Nothobranchius furzeri: one gene and its partner. The protein of the gene in region 1 interacts with the protein of each later gene in a pairwise test. Links are inferred from orthologs where the notes say so. Each region holds a gene or a part of one and is shown on either strand. Other genes may lie near its edges.

Evidence for each region.
Region 2: the proteins of toporsa (region 1) and satb1b interact in a two-hybrid assay, tested with the Homo sapiens proteins (2 studies listed by BioGRID and IntAct). The link is inferred for Nothobranchius furzeri from reciprocal best matches to the Homo sapiens genes TOPORS and SATB1.

What each region holds. Positions count from the first base shown.
Region 1 is NC_091746.1:80,962,893-80,966,648, forward strand, and holds the start of toporsa (topoisomerase I binding, arginine/serine-rich a), read right to left. Parts: upstream 2,457-3,756; 5' UTR 2,318-2,456; intron 1,375-2,317; 5' UTR 1,372-1,374; coding exon 1-1,371. Other genes in the region: ndufb6 (NADH dehydrogenase [ubiquinone] 1 beta subcomplex subunit 6), read right to left, coding at 3,081-3,146, 3,289-3,333, 3,541-3,633. UniProt on the Homo sapiens protein: Functions as an E3 ubiquitin-protein ligase and as an E3 SUMO1-protein ligase. Probable tumor suppressor involved in cell growth, cell proliferation and apoptosis that regulates p53/TP53 stability through ubiquitin-dependent degradation.
Region 2 is NC_091745.1:63,027,019-63,030,425, reverse strand, and holds the end of satb1b (SATB homeobox 1b), read left to right. Parts: intron 1-369; coding exon 370-999; 3' UTR 1,000-2,808; downstream 2,809-3,407. UniProt on the Homo sapiens protein: Crucial silencing factor contributing to the initiation of X inactivation mediated by Xist RNA that occurs during embryogenesis and in lymphoma.

The DNA.
Region 1 (3,756 bases):
GAAACGGATGTGATGGGGCGGGAGAGGTGCCTCTTCAGTATCCTCAATCTCAGACTCGTTCGAGTCAGAGGAGAGGTGAACCAGCTCAGGAGTCCTCTCTGCTGTCGGTTTGACAAACCCTATGATGACACAGTCCTCGCTGTCAGAAGACACACGGTCTTCCTCGTTGCGGTTACTCTGAGGCACGCCAGCTGGGTTATGTGAGCTCTGCCGGTGTGGAGAAGCCTCAAACTCTTGCATCTCCTCCTCTGAACTAATATCTGAGTCCAAGTTCAAAGGTGTCATCGCTGTTGCTTCTCTCTGCTCGGCTGAAGTGGAATATGACGGTCCAGGCGTCTCGTCGTCCCACAGAGAGTGGCTAAGAGAAGTAGGTTCCCCTGGGGGATCCACTTCTGCAAAGGTATCCTCATCCTCCGAGATAGCAATCACAGATGAGTTGGAGCTGCTGCCTTCGTTTCCGGAGGGGGCGGGGCAGTCATAGACTGCATGTTGGTCATAGGCCTCCATATTGAAGGGGGATTTTGCAAAGCTGAGGAACTCGTGTAGAAAGTGCTCGGTTCGACCTTGCAGGAATGGTCTGAGCTCTCCCTGGATCGCTCCATCCTCCATATCATAACGCGTAATGCGTGACATGATGATGTGCTGAACTATATTGACCAAAGAGCCATGGGCCCCGTACAAAACCATCAGTTCTCTCTTCAGCCAGGGGACCAGTCTGTGCAGGCAGGCTGGATTTCTTCGATAAAACTCAGCAGAGGTGTTTCGGGACCGACCGCCATCTTTCACGCTCTGAACCCTCACACCCCGTCGGTACAGTTCCCTCCTGAAGTTTATCATCTCTTGCTCTCTGACACTGTTCACCGCCCTGCCTTCCCTCGCAGCTCGCCTCTTGGCTTCCAACCTCGTCATCATGCGTCGAATGTAATGATCTCGGTGCTGCTCCAGGGTCGGGCGTGTCGCGGCTTCGAACATGACTCCGTTGTCTGGAGGAGGAGAGGTTCGTCTCGTTGCTCGAACTCCAGTGAAAGTTGTTCGGTATCTGAACCGCACTCCCTCAAAATAGCCAAAAGAGGCATTCTCCACCTGCTGTTTGATTTCATACCTCTGAAAGTCTTGATCTGACTTCACGCTGTGATAGATTGACCTAAACGGCTGTTTGCAGAGCGGACATTCGGCCTTGTTTTTGGACCACTCCAAGATACAGCGAAAACAGAACTTGTGCAGGCAGCGGTCCAAGTGGGAAATGTTGTTGAATCTGTCCAAGCAAATGGGGCACTTGGAGTCTGGCGATGCCTCTCCAGACATCGCTTTAGAGTTTTTACCTCTGGCACTGTTCTGGTTGTGTTGCAGGGCAATCTGGACTGCAGACATGATCTAATGTGGAGAGAAGAAAAAGCTGGAGTGATCTTCAAAATACAAGCTCTTACTTTAAACACCAATAAAGCCAACCTAAGCAGGCTGATTGAATAAAACGCAGTAACTAGAACAGCAAAAATATATAAACCGCTTTCCATCTATGATTAAATTATGGAATTTATTTTATGTTTGAATCATTTATTCACTAAGTTCACAGGGCTGGTGTTATTACAGATTTACATAGATCTTAGTAATAAACAATGGAAAAAGTTGTTGATTAAAATAAACTATGAAACTTTTAAAGACTTGGCTTTTTAAACTTGCTTTGCCTTATTTTATTTATAATTGTTGCTTGTTTATTTCCTCGTATTTTCTATTTTTACTGTGAAGCACTTCGTGATTTTTTTCTGCGAAAAGTGCGATGCATTTAAAAGTTACGTTTCTGCCCCATTATGAAAATATGAAAATGAACACAAACAATTCTCGTTAACCTGAACAGATTTCTACTCTAGAGGACATTTATCACCGTCACAGCCCATATTTTGTCTTTTAAGGAGCTGTAACTTTTGGTTGTCTTTCAAATAAGTCAAAACTAACTAAACGGGACAATCAGAAAGACAACCTAAAAAGACATGGCTCTTATATTTGGCAAGATAATAGAAACGCAAGAAAACGTATTAAATATGTCTTTCGGCACATTTGTTGTGTGTTTTAGTGAATGCTGACGTTGTTACGATCCCGTTTTGATTTGATGAAAATTTAATGTTGGATTAGTTTGAAAACATAAACAACCTCAACAAATAGTCATAAAAATATTCTTATTCGCAGAACAAAGCTAACTGTAGATTATAGCTGGGTTTTTGGTTGAAGCTAGCACAAGGTGGCTACGTTAGCTAGCACGGTGCCGTTAAAGTTATGACACGACGGCAAGGAGTCCGTTAATGAGTTGTAAGATATTTACCTGCGACTTTGACAAACACACATACACACCACTGGCAACGAATTAGGAGTTTCCTTCATGAATAAATCCACTTTTTAGTAAACATCTGTCAGCTAGCGTTTCACCTCCTTTCCACCGGTTTCATAATTTCAACGTTCGAACACTTCCGCTCTTCAAAATAAGAGCACTTCTTTAGACACTTCCGGTTTTATTTATAACTCAAGTGAAAAAGTTCCACTAAAACCAGGCTTTGAGGATGTCTGTAAGACTACAATAACTAACAGTGTGATTTGATCTAGCATGAATGGAATTGAGACCGTTTAAAGACTATAAAACCTAAGATGCAAATTAATCCAATTCAATCACGATCAGTAAAAAACATGATTACAATTAAACAACTTTTCAGGTTCACACACACGAGGAGGGGGGTGAGTACTAACTGCGCAGAAAAGGTGCAGCAGCAGTTTCGACCTGCGAGTGTCTCTCTGCGAGGTAACGGTGCTAATTGCGACACCTCATAAACTGATTTATGACCGCCTCATAAACACCAATCATGTTAAAATGTTCATGCAACATAATAATTTAAAAACCTATTAAAAAGAAAAGCTACACAAAACTAAATCTTATCATGAGCACAAAGTCCTGGAATAAATGATGAAATTCTTCCAGTTAAAACCCAACACCACACTCATTACAGTCAGACATGAAGAATTTTGTAATATTTTATTGTAATATACAGTTTTTACAACAGAAAAACAAAAAAATTAATCACATTTTTTTTTATTTAGTGATGGCCATGGATCTCTGGGAGATCAGGTAACACTTCGCCAGTCTCCAGAATGGTGTCACCCTGTAAGAAAGGTCAATTAAACATCTCAGACAGCAAGTCAATGACGTCAGTGGTAGACAATGATTGTACCACATAAACAGAAAACAGCTAATTAAAATAACACACGTGTATTATTCAGAACTAGTATATATGCTATACTCACAGGTAAAAGCTTGGGTTTCGTCTCCACAATCCCATATGGTTTTGTCTGTGGAGAAAATGTACCTTTTAGCTAGTAATCCTACTGATCACACAAATTAAACTTGAATCCATAAACTGAGTGAGACTGTCTGATTATAGCCAAGAAACAACTGAAGACACAGGAAAAAGTCTAGTCCTATCCTGCTTAATGGATGAGTGAAAACCAGGTGGAGAAACGTGCTACAAACACTGCAAAACTTTTGGGGAAACTTACAGCAACGTGATATTTCACATAGTAGTGAACAATCCAGCCAGGCAGGAGCAGACGTGTGATTGTGAAAACTCCACCTTTGTATGCTTTGTAGGTCTGCAAGAAAACAAACAAAAAGTTATAGAAGCATGTTTAACTGAAACTAAAAAAATGTTCTCATCACAGATCGGATTTTCCATCCACTTTTAGATTAAATTCAATATTTAATTAATAACATTT
Region 2 (3,407 bases), on another chromosome or scaffold:
TGGTGAGCTAGTGGCTGCCGCCTTAAAACTGTTTTGACTTGCACCTTGAATTACACAAATGTTCTTGCAGAAATAAAAAATAAATACAATAATCCCTAATGACCTTTGACCTCTGGGCACATCAAATGTCCTTCCTCCTGCTCCTGCTTATCTTTGCAGATGAAATCACCACATTTGTTTGAAGTATCTGTTTTAAGGTGTCAGACTAGCCATTAGCTCATCAGTCCTGGGGCTGTAAACCCTATTTCTATGAACTGAGGCTGTTCACGAATAATTCTTTTCAACTTTTATAACAAACCTGTTTATGGTTCAGATTGGTAACACCCTTACCTTCTTTTTGTTCTTGTTTTTTTTTTTTCTCAAATTCAGTCTCAGTCGACTCAGCTGCAGCAGCACCAGCCCTCCCTGTCCCTCCATCCTTCCCAGCCCCTTTTGTCCCAGCAGCCCCTGCAGCAGCAGCAGCCCCTCACCGGCCCCAGGCTGCCTCCCCGCCAACCCTCCACCGCCTCCCCGGCCGAGACGGAAGACGAGGGCAGCCGCGGAGGGAGCATCAAGTCCCGCAGCAGCGGAGGGAAGATCTCCCTGGAGGCGCTGGGCATCCTGCAGAGCTTCATCCAGGATGTGGGCCTCTACCCAGACGAGGAGGCCATCCACACCTTGTCCGCCCAACTGGACTTACCCAAGCTCACCATCATCAAGTTCTTCCAGAACCAGCGCTTTTACATCAGCCACCCAACCAAGGCGCCCAAGGAGCCCAACAACAACAACAGCAGCGGCAGCAACAACAGCACAGCGGTGAACACCAGCAGCAGCAGCAGCAGCAGGAGCAGCCCGGCCTTCGAGGAGGAGCTGACAGACTTCAGGGAGAGCGGAGAGCTGCTGAAGGAGTTGGACGAGAGCACGCAGACCAACAGCACCATCTTCTCCATCAAGATCGAGGAGCAGCTGGGCCGAGGCGCCGAGACCCACCACGAGTCGGAGCATGAGGTCAAAGAGTAGAAATCCGGCTCCCTCCGATCCTGGACTCAGAGTTCTGACCCGCACACTCAGACTGATGACCGTGCTGAATCCGAACGCTCTGAACGACACGACCCGGCGAGCTGGAAAAGCAGACAAGCAGCGTTGTCTGTGCACGCAGCGTCGGGACTGAACGGGAAGTGTTTATGTATAAATTAAAGTTACAGGCTCTGTGAAGTGACACACACACACACACACACACACACACACACTGAAAACCCATCTCATGTACTACTTTTTGGATTTTGTAAAACTTGTAATATTCACTGTAAAAACCGATGCATCGTTTTAATAATCTGCACAAAAACATTATTGTAAAGTACGTCACCGTGGATATTTGCTGGCTGCACTCGATGTCTGTTGTTTTACACTGACTATCTTTTTGAGCTACAGATTATATTAAAAAGAAAAAAAAATCAAAAAGACCCCCTGGAGTTTACTAAGAATTTGATAGGTGTATGTAATGTTTTAACTGGAATTTTCATTTTTGTTAATATCAAATGAAATCGAGGACCAAGTGGTTGTAAAGGCCTTAATTGTGAGGTGTGACGTCTGCAGCCTGCTGGAGGAGGAGTCATTCTTTTAAAAAGAGCATCGTGTGATTAGAAATCACTCCAAACTCGGGAACGCAATCACCCGAGAACAGCCGAACCGTTGCTTATCATTTGTTAGGGAAGATATATAATATAAATATATATAGACATTATATTGTAACTGTAAAAAAGTACAGTCTTAAAGAAACTATGCCAACAAATGCCTTGTACAATACGGCACTGCCGATGTTAGATTATTTTGCAAAACCTTTGTCACTGTAACTCTGACTCGCCACACAGTTAAAACAATGTGAATTAAACTATGTTTATGTTGTCTGACATTATTTATTTGCTGTGTTTCTGATGTAATTACAGTTTATTTTAAAAGTTTATCACAGTTTTTCCTCTTTTTTTTCTAAATTCTGCCATTTTTTTCTATTTATAAATGTGATTTAACACTGGCAGTGGAAGCAAAAAGTGTCTTAAACGTCTTCAGTGGAGAAATGTGCTTTAAAGGTCGCCTATAAAGTGCTGTATGTCGAGCAAATCGTGCTACAAGCTTCACAATTATTGTCGTATGCAACTTTTACTATCATGCAAATAAGCTTAGGTGAGATGACTAACCTATGGAACACCTTAGAGAGAAGAGAACATATGCAATCTGTGTGAAAATCCATGTCTGCCATGTGTCTTCCTTTGGTTCGAGATCCAACTCTAAAAGCTCCTCCTGTAAAAAAAAAAAAAATAAGAGAAAAAATAACAATCCTGTACAAAAAGTTTTTTTAAGCGTTGATTCAGACGAGAACACCCGTTATTTTGTTACGACTGACTGTTTTCTATGTGTTCCTCGGTTCCTCTCTGCAGAGATGTTCTAACTAGAAGTGATTGTTAATGACACGATTAAACCGTTTGTATGGTGACACTGATTCCTCGAGCGGACTCTTTTGCCCTCAGAGGGGTTTTTACCAAGCGGAGCTGAGATGATGTGAGCTGTTTCTGCGGCTGAGAGACGCCGGCTGACCCGGACATGTTTGTAACAATAACTGTAAATATCACATCCTATCAACCGCCGATTGTTTATGATTGTAAATAGGTTTGAAGTTTGTGTGAGAGCTCACGGCGGGGAGCTGAATCCTGCGCTCTGTTGTGCCTCCTCTTCTCAGAGCGACTGTACCTGGGCTCTTCTTACTGCTGAGTGTATCTGAAACACCTGTGAAATCTCAAATCAATAAAAGCTGAGGTGTGAACACCTGGAATGGAGAAATGGAGAAGCCCTCTTGCAGCACAGGTGTCCTGACCTGACGGTGAACTCCAGGTGAGGAAATTACCTCACCTGTGAACATCCAGACAAGCGGTCTGGGTTCTTTTCATGTTTTGCTCATTGAAACACAAATAGATGGGAAAAAAAAAAGATTCAGAATTGTCAAACACTCAGGATGTTCTTCCCTCTTTTGCCAGAGGTGATGATCTGGGGACACGAAGCACATTAAGGGGTGAAAACAAGATGTCGTGAAGTAAAGAAGCACCATTACGCTTCATTATTTCCTGATTTTTCTTCTTTTTGCATTAAAATGGCTGACTGACAGAGGTGCCAACGAACATCAGCAGCTTCAGGATTGTATCATTATCACCATTTTCACGAGGATCAGCCTCATTTGTCTCAGCAAAAACCTTCTGGAGCACCAATACTTCCATAGGACAGATGTACCTGGTGCAGGAAGAGAAAAATACACCAGAACAGGTGATTTTGTGTCCTAAACTGGCTTTAAGTTTCTCTGCATCTCTTCACATCAGATATCTCCTCACACGTTTAGTGGTGAGTCAACTCAGGAATCAGTTGCTTATTTTTATATGGTC